Linked DNA regions of Rattus norvegicus. The protein of the gene in region 1 interacts with the protein of each later gene in a biochemical or structural test. Links are inferred from orthologs where the notes say so. Each region holds a gene or a part of one and is shown on either strand. Other genes may lie near its edges.

The links. The genes of interacting proteins can lie anywhere in the genome.
Region 2: the proteins of Dlg1 (region 1) and Net1 form a complex in vitro, tested with the Homo sapiens proteins (3 studies listed by BioGRID and IntAct, with this or other methods). The link is inferred for Rattus norvegicus from reciprocal best matches to the Homo sapiens genes DLG1 and NET1.
Region 3: the proteins of Dlg1 (region 1) and Mtmr1 interact in a test that uses a peptide from one of them, tested with the Homo sapiens proteins (2 studies listed by IntAct, with this or other methods). The link is inferred for Rattus norvegicus from reciprocal best matches to the Homo sapiens genes DLG1 and MTMR1.
Region 4: the proteins of Dlg1 (region 1) and Cript form a complex in vitro, tested with the Homo sapiens proteins (3 studies listed by BioGRID and IntAct, with this or other methods). The link is inferred for Rattus norvegicus from reciprocal best matches to the Homo sapiens genes DLG1 and CRIPT.

The regions. Positions count from the first base shown.
Region 1 is NC_086029.1:82,604,498-82,609,191, forward strand, and holds the start of Dlg1 (disks large homolog 1), read right to left. Parts: upstream 3,301-4,694; 5' UTR 2,882-3,300; intron 2,428-2,881; 5' UTR 2,395-2,427; coding exon 2,376-2,394; intron 1,695-2,375; coding exon 1,563-1,694; intron 1-1,562. UniProt on the Homo sapiens protein: Essential multidomain scaffolding protein required for normal development. Recruits channels, receptors and signaling molecules to discrete plasma membrane domains in polarized cells.
Region 2 is NC_086035.1:71,276,482-71,280,683, forward strand, and holds the end of Net1 (neuroepithelial cell-transforming gene 1 protein), read left to right. Parts: coding exon 1-169; intron 170-496; coding exon 497-667; intron 668-1,480; coding exon 1,481-1,667; intron 1,668-2,016; coding exon 2,017-2,420; 3' UTR 2,421-3,864; downstream 3,865-4,202. UniProt on the Homo sapiens protein: Acts as a guanine nucleotide exchange factor (GEF) for RhoA GTPase. May be involved in activation of the SAPK/JNK pathway Stimulates genotoxic stress-induced RHOB activity in breast cancer cells leading to their cell death.
Region 3 is NC_086036.1:246,166-250,367, forward strand, and holds part of Mtmr1 (myotubularin-related protein 1), read left to right. Parts: intron 1-401; coding exon 402-503; intron 504-941; coding exon 942-1,025; intron 1,026-1,311; coding exon 1,312-1,461; intron 1,462-2,136; coding exon 2,137-2,325; intron 2,326-3,607; exon of another isoform or gene 3,608-4,202. UniProt on the Homo sapiens protein: Lipid phosphatase that specifically dephosphorylates the D-3 position of phosphatidylinositol 3-phosphate, generating phosphatidylinositol. Could also dephosphorylate phosphatidylinositol 3,5-bisphosphate to produce phosphatidylinositol 5-phosphate.
Region 4 is NC_086024.1:13,334,027-13,337,457, forward strand, and holds the end of Cript (cysteine-rich PDZ-binding protein), read right to left. Parts: intron 2,751-3,431; coding exon 2,647-2,750; intron 2,071-2,646; coding exon 2,006-2,070; 3' UTR 952-2,005; downstream 1-951. UniProt on the Homo sapiens protein: As a component of the minor spliceosome, involved in the splicing of U12-type introns in pre-mRNAs. Involved in the cytoskeletal anchoring of DLG4 in excitatory synapses.

The sequences.
Region 1 (4,694 bases):
ATAAAATTCTCTAGTACAAACTTAAATAGATTATCAAAATTTAACTATGCATATGAATAAATATTCAAAACAGGCCAGAGGACTATGCAACAACGGCCTCAAAGCAGAGCAAGTCCAACCATAACATGGTAAGGGTCGAGTCTATTTAGTTTTCTCAGGTTACAGCTTTCCCTTACAGTCAGACTGCAGTCCATATGCACATGTGTATGCAGATGAGGACATACAAGTCATGCTAGGGTTTTCCCTAATGTGTCTCTATTAAATAAAAATTTCTAGGTTTAATGTTATCTAGAAAACTACATAACTAAAATATTGTTTTTCTCTTCCTCATTGGCTGGGTTTTTCCTCCAAGGAACCAAGGTGATGACCTATTGGGACCTTAAAGGTCATGGCCTGGAAAACAAGTGCAAATGTGTCCTCTCACATTGTGAAAATGCTGATAATCTCTGAGGATGGGTGGGTGACACTGGCAGTTCACCCTCTCCCCACCCTTAATGCATGTCTTTAAGTCTGTAGTAACACTAAACTCTAAAAAGTTATAAGGTCTACCAAGCCTGTACAAGGCTAAAGAGCATCAATAGAGCAATAAGTTATCTGACAAGGCACACATTGACAACAGTGTTCAAATCACACCAGTAATCAATCTATCAGCACACACGTGTGTGAGGCCTATCCGCTGGGAAGTTACTGAGAAAATGGACATAATGAGAGAAAGCATAGGTCTTATTTGAACGTGTTAGACAGTCCTTACTTAATTTTTTTTAATCTTACTATTGAACCTGGAGGCAATAAACCACCTGGTTCAGTAGTCAGGTGAGAAAAACAGAAATTTCATTTTTAAAAGAACCTGCTGTCTTTAAAAGTCTTAAAAGCCCACTCTTCACTTACTCGCCCACAGTCTACAGTTACTAACCAGCCTAAACTGGATGAATGGGCTCTCTGATATTTAATCACTAACCGTGTCAGGAACTAGTCAGGACTTTGGACTACTTGTCCAACTCTTTAAAACAACGAACTATCTCATATTTAAGATACAGGTAGGTAAGAATAAGACTGTTACAATGCTATCTGTAGAATAAGATAATTATTAGACATCACCTCTGAGATCATTCTCCAGGTCTAAAACTCATACTATAGGAATGTCAAATTTAACAGAGGTGTATATCAAAGAGATGACTGCTCTCGAACACAGCAGAACCCTTCAAATATCTTCAAGGATTCCAGAGAAATACAAGTCAACTACAGAAACACCAACAATAGTTCAGGAACCATTGATGTTCCTAAAACATTTCTACAACTTGTCCATCTTTCAATAGGTAACTCTAAAACTTGAAACGGTATTCTCAGAGGGCACAGAAATAACCATACCAGTAAGTTTTTTCTGGTAATTAAATACCTTTAGAAGCAACAGTGGCCTACTGCAAAACATAAGCACAGTAGAGATGTTCCAAGTTAATGGCCGTCCCCGGAGAGCCAAGCACATTGTCATTCTAAGTTTCACATGACAGAGAAGCACCATGCATTAGTACAGTGGTCACAAGTAAAACAGTTTTAATTCTCACCTATTAAAGCCTGAAAGAGGTTGCTCTGAAATATGCTAATAACCCGCTCTATGGAACTCCTGAGCTGTCTGTCTTCGGTTTGGCTTAGTTTCGACCGATATTCTTCCAACAGATGCAATGCTCTCTGGGTATCTGAAAAGACAAGTACGGTGAAAATTTCATGTATATATTTAGGGTCTGTGTCTGCATGCATACTTACAAGAAAGTGCTACATGCTACGTCTACAAGACATCTAAAGAGTTCCCCAGAGCCTCCAAGTCAAGTGGGGTCAGCGCTACAACCATATTCCATTCCCTGCTAAGACGAAAATACTTTAAAGGCTTTATATCACACTAGAGGAAGGAGAAAGTAGTGGCTGTGGACTGACAGCCTCCAATACTTAAAGACCATCTAATTAAACTGGTAACAACTTGGTTTTAGAATGCCTAATAGACAAGAACAAGTTATCTCCAACTTGGTCCTATAACCAAATTTTAAGTTTTTAAACATCGGTTCTTAGCTACTCTCAGTTGTTCACAAAATAGTGGTGCTATGAATGAAAAGTGAAATACTGAAGCAACGAAGTTTTTAAAAAGACATGGCAGGGGGCTGATTGATTGCTTCAGTAATCACTACAGATGTGGAGAAGGTGTGTGCAGCGAACTAGGTGTTTCCACCCTCTGAAATGATGTGGAGCTTAGATACCGTAAGGAATAAAGGCGAGAGCCTGCTGATTCATCAAAGTCACACAATCCTTTTAAAAACAGTAACCACAACACTGATGTATGTTACAGCCAGTGACAGCCACAAAACAGTTCCAAAATAAATTCTCACCTTGCTTCCGGACCGGCATTTTTTCCCAGAAGCAGGAAGAAGGCACACACACCTTTACAAACACAAAACAGGAAGAAAAACTTGAACTAAGGCAAAGAACTGAACCGTGGATCCATTCGTTCCCCCCCAAACCCCCCACCCCCGTCCCAAACTCTCAACTAGGAAAAACTCCAACCTTGGAGGAACTGCCCACCTTTCAAAGTTTTCCCAAGTGAAAAGCAGGAGCCTCAACCCCCCCAGCAGTGTCAGCCAAGGCAGAAAGCCGGTTCTCGGGGGTCGCTATGCCCCCTACAGATTAAGATCGGACCCAAGCCCGCTTCGGAATGTTCCTCCAGAGCTTCCCCCTCCGCAAAGAGCACCTGAAGAGGAGCAGCCGGGCCGCCGCCGCGGCGTGCTTGCCACGCTCCCCACCTGCTGCCGCCCGCCGGCCCGTGTCCAGCCGCGCAGCGCCCAGCCAAGCGCCGGGTTGCTCCCCCGGCCCGCTCCGGCCCCCTCCTCTCGCTTGCCTGGCTCCTCGCTCGCCTCCTCCCGGCGGCGACTCCAGCAGGGGCCGGACCGGACAGCCGCCGCTCTGTGCGCCGCCCTCGCGCCGCTCATGCACCCCTCCGCGGCCTCCACACCTGCGGCTCCGCCGCAAAGTTCCCGCGAGCGGCGAACGCGGGCGCCCCGGGTGCGCTCCGGCCAGACTCGGAGCAGCTCCCCGCCCGGCCCCGCTCCACGTACCCCGCCCCGCCCCGACTCGAGCTCAGCTGAGGGGGTGAGGGGACGGGGGAGGAGCTCCTCTCGGCGGCCGCACCCCCGCGCCGCTCTCTCCGCCTCGGCCGCCGCCGCCTGCCCTCTCGCCGCCGCTCGCGGCCCCGCTCGCCCGCTCGCCTCCGGGCCGCCCCACCCCCGGAACCTCGCCTCCTTCCGCGCCCCCAGTCGCTCTCCCCCTAAACTTTCCGCCAAGATGGCGGCCCTGGAGCTGGCCTGCCGCGCGCCCACGTGACTGCTTTCCCGACGCCCTCAGCCAATGAGAAGTGAGGAGGCGGCTCGCTCGGAGCCCGGGGCTCCGGGCGCTGCTACCTAGGGGTTGGCAAAGGGAGGAGGGCTGGGAGGGGGTTGGAGTAGTGGAAGGAGGGACCCTTCAGCATCCAGAGGGAAGCGCCTTGCTGAGAGGCGCTCCAGTCGAAGTGGCTCTAAGGACAAAGGAGTTGGCACGCGCTCTACAGGTGGTCCGAAGTGTTTTTGGGACAGCTAGCCTGCCCGTCGCCCTAGCCCAGGGTGGCCTGCAGTTCTGAACTAGCGCGCTGGACTCGAGATGATGGAGACTGAAACAGAGAAGTGACCTCACCTGCGCCAGATCCAAGAAACAAGCTCCAGACACCCCTTAACCTCACTGAACACGTGCTGGCCAACTTCAAGGCTGGAAGAGTACCTGGCACGCCCGGGGTGGATCCCCAACAGGGAAAAAGGAGTTTGTGCAGGCTGCGCCGGTCACCCACGTTAAGGGGCGGAGAAAGAAGGGACTTCGGAGGGGAAGGGGTAATCTGGGTCTTCCACTTTTGACTGGTTTTTAAAGTATTCGTTTGTCCAAAAAGGTTTGAGGAGTTTCATTAAGGACCGGATGTAAAACGGAGACTGATTAGTTTGGTAAACGTTTGAGGGTTTCAGGGGACTTTTAGGTGTAAGTGGTTAACTCCTAATATGAGCCGTTTAATGATGAAATTTTTCATTCATTTATGCCTGCATTCATCTGTGCGTTCATGAATGTGTCCCTGCCCAGTGATGCTCCCAAGAGTTACCCATCTTATGGAGGACCCTTTAAGAAACTCACCTGTCTACCTGGTGGTGGTAGCACAGGACTTTAATCCCAGGATGCTAAGGCAACCTAATCTTTTTGAGTTCCAGGCCAACCTGGGTTACAGTGAGTTCCAGGACAGCCAGGGCTAGACAGAGAAGAAACCCTGTCTTAGGTAAAAGACAAACAAAAAAAGCCTCTCACCTGTAGCTACCTCAGAGACTGAACTACTGCCAGCCCTCACAGCTAGTTTAAATTTCAAGCTCCTCAAAGCAGAGCAAACAGTCCCAAGGGACCCTTGCTCTAGAGTTGAGGCTGCAGCTTGAGGAAGGGGACAGTTCTCCGAGTCACTGCCCAGCTCACTGAGCGGCTTTTAAGCAATAGGAACTTCTCTGCTCCATAGCCCAGGAAAATTTTTCCAAAGTCGTCAGAAGTTACTGAGGCAGAACCAGAAAGGCAGAGACCCATATGTGTCAAACCTTAAGGCTGGATCCGCTTGGATCCAGCTTGGAGATGGTTCACTTGGTTCTTGCCTCCGA
Region 2 (4,202 bases), on another chromosome or scaffold:
CCAAGACTTCCTCCAGCGCTGTCTGGAGTCTCCCTTCAGTCGAAAGCTAGATCTTTGGAGTTTCCTAGATATTCCTCGAAGTCGCCTCGTCAAGTACCCCTTGCTGTTAAAAGAAATCCTTAGACATACGCCCAAAGACCACCTCGATGTTCAGCTTCTGGAGAAAGCAGTAAGTGAACCCATAAAGGGTCTTGCAAGTTTATCATGGGTGACCTTAGAAAAGCATACAGTGGTACTTTTAAATCTCACATCATCAAAAGACTGGGTTTTTATCTAGTTCTTTCCACTGGCTGGCAGCCCTGAACTAGTCACCCAGTATGGCTGTTCACAGGTATAGTGAAGAGACGGGCTGGGTGACTCTGAGTCCATTCGAGCTTTAGATTCTGTCCTTCTGTGTGAGGTCGCTCAGGAGGAAGGCAGGGAGGGGGAAGGAGGATGGGCAGATAGGCTGCAGCTGCTCCATCTGGCCTTACCCTTCTGTCTTCATCATTTCTAGATTTTAATAATACAAGAAGTTCTTTCTGATATCAACTTGAAGAAAGGCGAATCCGAGTGTCAGTATTACATCGACAAACTGGAGTACCTGGATGAGAAGCAGAAGGACCCCAGGATCGAGGCGAGCAAGGTGCTGCTGTGTCATGGGGAGCTGAAGAATAAAAGTGGCCATGTGAGTTTCCACACGAACTGAAGGGAAACCACTGCTTCCCATTCCCACCTCAAGTCCTGCGAATAAACGATGAGGCAGTTGTTAAAAATGAGCCTGCAGCCTGCAACAGCAGATTAATGCTTGTCTGTGTGACCAGCAAAGAAGACTTAAACCTCTCCACTAGCAGTCGTCCTTTCTGCTCGCGATCCATAGGCCTGCCTGTGGCTGGCTCCCGTCTCATGAGCTCTTGCCTTGGGGATGGTGTCTGGTAGCAGGGCCAGAGGTTCCAGTACCACTCACGTTTTACAGCGGGTTAAATAAGAGCAACTTTATTTTTTTAAATATTCATTACAAAAGAACCTTCTGGAATTAAGGAGTCGGGAATGCTATTTCTGGTTTCTGTGCGCTTTCCAACAGCTCCATTTGTAAGTCGGGGTTGTTTAAGAGAAAGTTGAAATGCAGCCTATCTGATTCTGTCACAGAGCCTAACTGTTCTGTGAAGGCTTGGACCTGTAGACACAGCGGAACCGTGCCCTGTGTAGCAGCTCGCACAGGGCTCCCTGTGGAAGCTGCAGTGCATAGTCTGCTGACGCCGGGTCTTCCGGATCCATGGCATTTACTCAGCTGTTGCCTAACGCTGGCCTGTGGCCAGACAGGAGAGAGAGAAGAGCTTTGGGTGGCCTGAGCTTCACTGCTCCACATCAAAGCCATGAGATCACTGTTTTATGCCATTTATAAAGAACTTAGAATCAAAGTCTAATGTCAAATTTACTTCAGCAATTAAACCCCTTATTTAAGAACTTTTGGGTGTTTTTTTCCCCTTCATTTCTGCAGAAACTGTACATTTTCTTATTTCAAGACATCTTGGTTTTGACTCGGCCTGTCACCCGAAATGAGCGCCACTCCTACCAGGTTTACCGCCAGCCCATCCCAGTGCAGGAGCTGGTGCTGGAAGACCTGCAGGACGGGGATGTGCGCATGGGCGGCTCCTTCCGAGGGGCCTTTGGCAACTCAGACAAAGGTAAGGGCGCACTCTAGGGTAGTTTACTCAAGGGAGCCAGATTAGCCCGGGAGGAAAGGGGTGAAGCAGAGTGACCACACATTTGAAGCTAACCTGGGCTTCAGAATGAGACCCCATCTTGAAAACCAACACTGAAGAGAAGAAACAAACATCCCTAAATGAGATTAGAGTCAACCCTTAGAACTTGGAAAGCAGACTGTTCCCTAGTCGTGCCTGGCACAGCATGAGTTGGTCAGGGACTCCGGCCAGCAGCTGTCTGGACAGTGTATGTCTAGTCGTAAGTGCTGGAACTCTGCTTAAGACTTCATGACCACCTTCTTAGTCTTGATTTCTTCTTTCCTCCCTTCAGCTAAAAATATCTTTAGAGTGCGCTTCCAGGACCCTTCTCCAGGCCAGTCCCACACACTGCAAGCCAACGATGTGTTCCACAAGCAGCAGTGGTTCAACTGCATTCGCTCGGCCATCGCCCCTTTCCAGCGGGCCGCCAGCCCCCTCGAGCTGCAGGGCTTGCCAGACCTGCACGAAGAGTGTGAGGAGAACAACCCTTCTGCTGGGAATCTCAGAGCCCAGCGACGGTCATGCGTGCTTCCTGGTGTTATGCAGGTAGACCATGAAAGTGTGCTGGAGTGTGGCTCGAGTGTACAGACCTCGGAGGACACCAGGAACGCAAAGGCACATCGGCCTCAGCATGGCCTGCGAAGAGCAAGGGACAAGGCGCAGTTGGGTGGCAAAAAGAAAGAGACTTTGGTATGAGTGTGTGTGTTCCCCGGTGGGAGCTGTTTATTTATAAATGTGTACAGTTTTCTTGTAACGGGAGCGTCGAGGGCTACTCTGTACCAGATGTAATATGTCCATGGATTGGGTCTCTCTCTCATCCTCTCCCTCTCCCTTCCTCCCCCCCCCCAACCCCCACGTCCTCGTCTGCGTTGTCGTCATTGTCGTTGTTGTTAATGGCAGCTAAAGATACACAGGTTACTGTTAGAGTGAAGACTTTGAAGGGGTGTTTTCATGGATGGTGGCTTTTATCAGAAGAAATGTGGCAGAACCAGTGTCGTCCATGCTGGTAGACCGTGACTTTCCACCAAATGCCAGTGTTTGCCAAGCTTAAACCTTGCAAATGCTGAAGTTCCGTCAGCGTTCTTTGTTAGAGCTCAGGTGGAGTGCGGAATTTTAATAATGACACCTGCAGTCTACATGGGCGAGGTCTGAGTTTGAAATATTTCATATTTACAGGGAGCGCTGCTTCCTTGGAGAACAAGCATAAAGCCTGTTGTCTTCCCCTTTTCTCAACTGGAACGAACGAACGAACACCGTGTCAGTCTCACACGGTTCTCCTTCTCCATTCATTCATTCTGCCAACTATTTAATTTTTTTTTATTGTAAAGTAGTTTTTAGTATTTGCTTTTATTTTTTTACGTTGATGCCTTTTTAAATTGGCATATCCTTGAAGTTTTTCCTCCTGATTTTGTGTGTGTGTGTGTGTGTGTGTGTGTGTGTGTGTGTGTGTGTGTGTCATATTAATTTTATCAAGTGAAACCAAGCCATATTGTTTGAGCCAATTAAGAAAACAGCAGTTTTTACAGTGTATCATGTCAGGGTGATAAAGTCCCATGAAATGACTTAGTGTATTCTAGACTACTGAAAGAAACCACAGGAAGGGTGGGTGGAAGTTTTTGTGTTGTCAGAAAAGCAAGAGAGAAGGCAGGAGACTGGGATAGTAAAGGGAAGGGAAAGAGTAATTTGTCTAAAATTGTCTGGCTGAACCAGAGGAGCGGAGCTAGGAGCAGCCTGACCTGAGGGTATGTAGGAAGTTGGAGAAGGCCAGGGGGAATGTGAACTCTGTTTGCTTTGGTTTCTCATACCTGCAAATGCTAAATTTGAGAAGAAGCCACACGGCGTGTTGGAAATTTGGTTAATTCTGGTTGGTTTTCTTCATTCAAGAAAGCTCGTGATTCTTCACTGCAAAATGTTTGCATTAGAAATGGGGTCATGCTCTTTAAAGGGGGGAGAAGGACAGAGGCCCCATGTCAGCCCAGGGTTTTACTGGTGATCAGTTCAAGTCATTGTTAACCATTATGTGAAATATATCTCCAGTGGAACTGAAAATTGGAAAAGGCTGTAAATAAATCAATCAAATGATTTCTTTGTATAAACGAATTATACAATTAAAAAAAAGCACACACATAATAACCCAAAACACTTCTTGCCTGGTGGTTATTTGGGGGGCCGTCCACTGGACCATGAGGGCTTAGCTAAGGGGGGAAATAGTGCACACCTTTAATTACCCTTCTGAGATTGGTTGGTGCATAAGAAATGGCCGTAGTGTAATTCTTACAAGCCATGTGGTCTTTGCAGGACATGGTGTAATCAGAAGGCACCATTGTATTGCAGACAGCCAACCATATGGCTGTCTCCTGGATGCGAAACTAGAGCAAATAGCAAACATCTTCATTAATGTGGCTAAATCCAGACTGGGAGATCAGTATCTCAGCCTCCTCACTTTGAAAATTCAGATTCAGAAGTGTGCCTTACCCA
Region 3 (4,202 bases), on another chromosome or scaffold:
AGTGCACAGAATGCGGTTGTACATCTTATGTGAGCAAACATTATTTTTAACTATCCTGCTGACTCTCCTTCCCAATGTTTACGTCCCCTTTATTCCATTTTTCTTAACTTTTTTCTTTTCTTTTTAATTTTTTTCCTTTTTTCTCCATTTTTTCCTTTTTAATTTTTTTCCTTTTTTTCTCCTTTTTTTCTTTTTTATTCCCTATTTTTTCCTTCTTTTTTTCCTTAATTTTTAAAAGCTCACTGGGAGTATTCTTGTTGACTTGTCTTCTGTTAGTTGAAAAACTGTAGAGTACAAAACAAGGGATGAATAAAAGTCTTCCGTGTGTGCTGTGTCAGGGCGTCTGGCTAACAAGTGCTCATTCCATGTTGAATAGCTGAGCTTTGTTCATCGTTTCCTAGGACATGAGGAACCTGAGACTCGCGTATAAGCAGGAAGAACAGAGAAAACTTGGGATATTTGAGAACCTCAACAAGCACGCTTTTCCTCTTTCCAATGGACAGGTGAGCACAGCGAAGCAAACCTTCCTTGGGTGTCCAGCAATTCCACATTTATACATTTCTTTTGGGTTTAGTCCTTATCTCTTTCTGTGACGTAGCTAAATGCAAAAATTTGGATTTTATATCTCTTGCATAATAACTAAATTCAAATATTTTATCTCTCCTGCATAACGAATGATTAAGAAAAGCTTCTATGAGTTCAAGGCCATCCTGGTCTATAGAGCGAGTTCCAGGACAGCCGGGGCTACGTAGACAGACCCTGCCTGGAAAAACAAATTAAAGAAAGAAAAAACAACAAAGAAAAGAAAGAAGTGGGGGCTCCTAAGTTATTACTTTAAAACGTGCAGATTAAAACAGAACCGGTAGCAGAATGAACGAAGGTTTATAGTTTGTTATGGGATAACAAACACTGACGTGCGTTTTGTGGATTTTCGTCTCTAGGCGCTGTTTGCGTTCAACTATAAAGAGAAGTTTCCAGTTAACGGCTGGAAAGTCTACGACCCAGTGTCTGAATACAAGAGACAGGTAGAGTACGTCACTTGTCACATGGGATGCGGTAGCTTCCTTGTCCGTACTGAAAGGACAGATGTGCAGCCACGGAGAAGAAGCTGTGCTTCCAGATGTTTTTGCATTCCAGGCCTCATAAAGAATGGATGAATGAGGATCCACGCTGTCATTAATTTGATTTGAGGCACCGTTATTTTAATAGCAATAAGCAAGTTATAAACGAATAAATGTGATTCATGGTTTGTTTGTTTGTTTATTTATTTATTTATTTATTTCCCGTTCTTCTTCCTCTAACGTCCTACAGGGCCTGCCAAATGAGAGCTGGAAAATATCCAAAATCAACAGTAATTATGAGTTCTGCGATACCTACCCTGCCGTCATCGTTGTGCCAACGAGCGTGAAAGATGATGACCTTCTGAAAGTGTCAGCCTTTCGAGCAAAGGGCAGAGTCCCTGTGAGTAATGAGCTTTGTTGTTCAGAAAGAAACAGGCACAACATCTCTATGTGCACTGCTCACCTGTTCTGCACCCACCTCTATGTGCACTGTTTACCTGTTCTGCACCTACCTCTATGTGCACTGTTCACCTGTTCTGTACCCACCTCTATGTGCACTGCTCACTTTTGATCTGAAGAAATACCTCATTATACAAACACTCATTTATTTTATTTCTGTAGTTACATGGGAATGAAATAATCATGCCCAGGAGGAAGGGATGGTTTCTTCAAGTTTACAACTGAATTATTTTGTGTCCTTGGACCTCTGTAGAAAAATGGGAGATCTGAGATATATCTATCTATATATCTATCTATATCTATCTATCTATATATATGTATGTATATATGTATGTATGTTTTTGATAAGAGACCTCACTGTGCTATTTATGTTATTATAAAGATATGATGTTTTTATATTAGAAAAATATGGAGCTTGACAGTCAAATAGAAATGGGATTAGATTTTAGTAATAGTTCGATTTAAGTTTTATCTTATTTGGAGTGATAGGATTTCAAAGGAGAAAGGGATTTTTAGAATGTCTCATTGTACTTTTTGTCAACTAATTAGATAATATATTATATTACGAATGACACCCCTCAGCGGATATTTATTATTTGTTGCCCTAAAACATCAGGTGTTGTCGTGGATTCATCCGGAGAGTCAGGCCACAATTACACGTTGCGGCCAGCCATTGGTGGGTCCCAACGATAAACGCTGCAAAGAAGATGAGAAATACCTGCAGACCATCATGGATGCCAATGCGCAGTCACATAAACTCACTATCTTCGATGCCCGGCAGAACAGCGTTGCCGATACTAACAAGGTATGTGTTTGGTAGCCTTGGAGAAAACGTGGGGTTTTTGTTTGTTCGCTTGTTTGTTTTTTCATGCTTTCTATAAGTCTTCATCGTTTTAGAACGCGCCATTGAATCTTGCCTTTTTCATAACTTTCCCACAGTTTAGTTTGACGACTCGATGAAGCAAAGCCCTATAGAGAGAACTACGTAAACTAGTGCGTATTTTAATGAAACCACCACAGGCCCTTTGGAAGTCCCTCTAATAAATTTACTGATTGTTTAACCAATTCATAACTTTAAATAAATATATATATATATATATACATTCAGTATCTTTAAATATATATTCTAAATATATATATATTCAGTATCTTTAAATATATATTCTAAATATATATGTATATTCAGTATCTTTAAATATATATTCTAAATATATATAGATATATTCAGTATCTTTAAATGTATATATTCTAAATATATATAGAGAGATGTATTCAGTATCTTTATGTATATTTTCTAAATGTATATATCCTGAGGATATCATGATGACCTTTAGGGCCCTCTCGAGGTCATCCAAGGTTATCCCAGAGATCTGGTTCAGTTTTGTTTCTCAGATAAGGTTGTGTTCGCAATCAGCAGGGGTTTATTCTGTTCACCTTTAGTGAGGGCCACTTTTCAGCCTACTTTACAGACTTCTCCTGACTGCTGGGTCTTTGCAAAGAAGGCAACCTTGGGGCCTGGAGGGGTGGCTCAGTGGTTAGAGCACCGACTGCTCTCTCAGAGATCCTGAGTTCAATTCCCAGCAACCACATGGTGGCTTACAACCATCTGTAATGGGATCTGATGCCCTCTTCTGGTGTGTCTGAAGACAGCCACAGTGTACTTATATATAATAAATAAATAAATCTTTAAAATAAAAAAAAGAATGCAACCTTATTTGAAAAATGAAACTAAACCACTATACTGCTTGTTCCCAGAACTCACAAAATACGAGAAAATTATGTGGAGAAGACAGACAGACAGACAGAGACAGGAGAAAGACCGTCCTTTTAATTATTTATGACTTTAAAATATTTACTATACTTTTGATTGACTAGAGTGGCACACAGCCATAGTGTGTGTGACGTTTTGTTTGCAGACTTGGGCACGTATAGGTAGTGTCTGCCCGTGTCACCGGTTTCTCTTAGGAACATTGGTTGGCCCTGACAGACACAGGTCTGTCTAATCAATTTTCGTTTTCTAGAACTCTCTCAACCTCACACCCCGCTCCTTAGAAGGCATCGGTTGGTTTCCTTCCTCGTCGTCTTCCTTTTTGTTTTGTCTTGAGACCCCCAAATGGTGGATCCCTGTGTCCTGTTATAGAACTGACGTGCAGTGTTCTTTTCACCCTATAGCCCTGGTGTGATAAATGAGCATCTGTGCATTGCCATAGGTGACCAATGAACTTTGACCCCCTAAGTCCATTCTGATTCTTAGTGTGCACGGGCTGCCTCCGTTCCTCCTCACAGAGTTTCCTCCCCATTGGCCACTGGCTCCCATATGTATGACATATACTACCAATGTATATATCACACTATCAGTGTGTATGTGTACATTATTGTATGTTAATATTTCTACGAATAGAGAAAACATGGCACATCCATACAGTGGTACCGAGTTTAACATAAAGAAGGTGGAATCATGGTATTTATAGGAAAACGAATGCAGCTGGAGAGCATTAGGTAAACTGAGCCACACTTGGAAACACACACATACCACACACTTCCTATTATATGCACATCCTAGATTGTCCACAGAGGCCATTTATGACTATCCGAGTATATTCTTTATTCTCCTCCTCTCCTCTGTCTTCCTTAAATATTGGTCTTCTGTAGACTTCTGGTCTATCCTTCTGTCTGTACGTT
Region 4 (3,431 bases), on another chromosome or scaffold:
GTTGAAAAGGCCCCCAGTGACAGCAGCCTCTCCTCTCACTCAGTCAGTCCAGCCACCTCACTGGGCCATTGAACCTGCATCTTTATTTTCCATTTCCTCCCGGTATCTTAGCTCAGCTTCCAACCTCATCACTACTGGCTAACGTCACTGCTCTGAAACTGCTCAACTCTACTCTGTGTACAGACATTTGGAGTAATAAAGCAGAAATCCAGTAAATAGTGGCTGAATTTTAAAAGCACTCAGCTTCATTCACTAAGTCACCTGGGAGGGAAGTTCCGCCCCGTGTGCACAGGCTGATACATGGTAATCATACATGTTAAGTGTTTGCCCAGAAATCTTACAACTTGAACCAGGGACATCTGGACAAACGACTCACTGCAGGGCTAAGGGCGGGTGGGAGGACCACAGTAACGGAGCCCAGATCAAAACAGACCATCCTGTGCTGCACGGTAAGGAACTGCTTAAGGGTACAGCACAGCTGGGTCCTTTATGACTTCTCTGCGTTAAGATCTTAACACTTCGAGAAGTCAGCTTGGTCTACAGACAGTCAGGGCTATGTAGAGGGACCCTGCCTCAAAAAACTAAAACCCAACCCCCGAAAAATCCCAAGTTAAAACATAGGAGGTATTTTATACTGAGCCATACTATTTGTTTTTGTATTTTGTCTTTCCAGACAAGGTTGCTCTATGTAGCTCTGGCTGTCCTGGAACTCACTCTGTAGACCAGGCTGACCTTGAACTCAAGAGATCCTTCTGCCTCTGCCTCCTGGGATTAAAAGTGTGTGCCACCACTGCCCGGCTGAGATGTTATTTGTATTTTGTATTATTTCTGTAATTTTTCTGATAAAAATTAACAAATTAACAAAGCACCCTAGAAAAACATTGAAAAAAAATCTAGTGGATAAAATTAAGAATTTTTCTTCAAAGTAATTTTAAAACCATAATCAATGTCTATTTTTTCATTGTTTATAGTAGGTCTCACATTACACAGTGATATGCATTTAAGATCCTGCAGATAAAAACAGAGAATATGCTTTTGGTCTCTGGGTAGGCTGAGGGTTTTAAAGGTGGAAGGCCCAACCCAAAGAAGGCAACAAGAAAAACCTTCATTCACAGCAGCCCCCTGGCAGGCTGCAGCAATGTCAGAGGCCAGAGGCCTGCTTTATTTCTGAGGAAGTGGCAGCGGGGGTTGGGGGGTGTTAAGGAAAGCTATGTATCCTTCTTCAAAGAACATTCCCAAACAGAATAAATGTATTCTCATTTGAATTTAAGATAATGCTGACAGAACGCACGTCTCTGAACTTCAGTGTCTGCCTGGACATCGGGCCCCATGGCACTCAGTCACACGTAAAAGAAACTCACTTTAGCAGCAACAGCAACTTTAAATAAAAATGCAACTTATCTTAGACTTGTGGCAGGACTGGTCACCAAGGAACCACTCTGCAAAAATGGTCTCAGACATTATAGCTCATGAAAATGCAGTAACTAAGGCCCTGTTTGTTCTAAGAACTGCAATGTTTGTGAGAAAGTGAGAAATCTCAAGTCTGGATGTCAAGTTCAGAGCAAAGAATCAGTGATTTCACATTTGCAATATCTATAAATAAAACGCGTGGGTCAGATAGGAATTATATGGATAATGTCTAGTAGACAGTGCGTACAGAAGTAGGGAACACCTTACTCATTAATTATACAGATAATGTCGAGTAGACAGTGCGTACTCATTAATTAGATAATGTCGAGTAGACAGTGCGTACACAAGTTGGGAAACCTCGTTCATTAATTTTGTCACTTATCTAGTTCAGTAAAATGCTCACAAGGAAAATAACCACCTAAGGCAGAAACTTCATTCACAACTTCATGAGAGCAGACAGATCAATACTGATCAACGTCCCTGCTTCAGACTGAATCATTCATCCTCAAACAGGTCATTTTGTGAGATGGACATCCGTGTTACGCTTGAAAAGCTGAAGCACAAATACAACCGTAGAGTTGGAATCTTCAACAGCCTAGACGGAAGTCTGCTTGTAGTTTTTAGTATCCAAAACCTTTTTGCCACACATCGCACAGATGCCTGAAACAAAAGAAAGCATGTGAGCAGCAGCCAGTTGCTTTATTTATGTTAAACTAAAGCTCAGCGGGGCTGCCCGGCTCGCTCACTGGTCAAGCGCACTTGCTCTGTCATCATGGAAACTAGAGTCTGGAGTTCAACATTCACATCTGCTCACAAATCCCCATAATTTCAAATCCAAGTAGGGTGCAGACAGGAGGATCCTTGGGGTTTGCTGGCTTCTACCCCAACTGAGAAACAGGAGCCTCAGGGTCAGGGAGAGACCCCGCCTCACAAGGTGGTAATAGAGAGAGACGCCTTCTCTTGGCTTCAGGCACACATGCCTAATGCATAAGTGAGCTGCACACATGACCACACACTCAGACACAGAGAGAAGGGCAGATGGAGAATCTTTAAGAACTTCAAAACGTCATAAGAGAGAAAAAGGGATATCCTTTTGACTACAAATTTAAATTCTATTTTATCTTAGTAAAAAAGGGTATTTGATTAACAACTCTAGAAAGGTTACTCCTTTCAATTACTTAAACCAACACCAAATGAGATAGATTTAAGTCGAAAAATCGAGTTAAAGAAACATACCTTTCTTGTAGGCACAGCCTTGACAGTAATGAGAACCTGGCTGGTGTACAGAACTTTTACAAATTCTGCAAGTGGAGAACTTATTTTTTCCATATGGATCAAACCTAGAGAGTTAAAAAAAAAGATATTCATACCACAATAGAAACTTGTGTGTGTGTGTGCGTGTGTGTGTGTGTGTGTGAGAGAGAGAGAGAGAGAGAGAGAGAGACAGGCTTTCTCTGTATGGCTCTGGCTGTCCTGGTACTTACTCTGTAGACCAGGCTGGCTTCTAACTCACTGAGATTCACCTGCCTCTGCCTCTCCAGTACTGGGATTAGATATGGGTAAGCCAATTACTAAAAACGGGAGGGTGGATTCCATATGTTCTCTATGTACATATGTATGTCATATGTGTGCAGGTAGCTATGGAAGCCAGAGGGTTTGGGTTCTTTGTAGATGGGGTTACACGTGGCTTTAAGAAGCAAACTCATGTCATCTCTCCAGGACCATTCCCCTTCCCTGCCCCCCTCCCTTGGTGAACCTTGACCTCCTGATGCTTTTGCCACCAGCACCTAAGCACTGGGGTTACAGGCACATGCCATCACACCCGGCTTAGTTTTTGCTCCACTCTGAAGGTATATAATATATTCTGGTGATGGTTTCTGTGAGAAGTAATATAAACTCTCATCAGCAGACCCGACCATAAAGGGTTAATCTCAATGTCCACATGTACAGTTCACTTTAATGAGACAGGCGCATTTCCTAATGACTACTCACTTTAACAAGGTTTTTCTACTGACTCCACT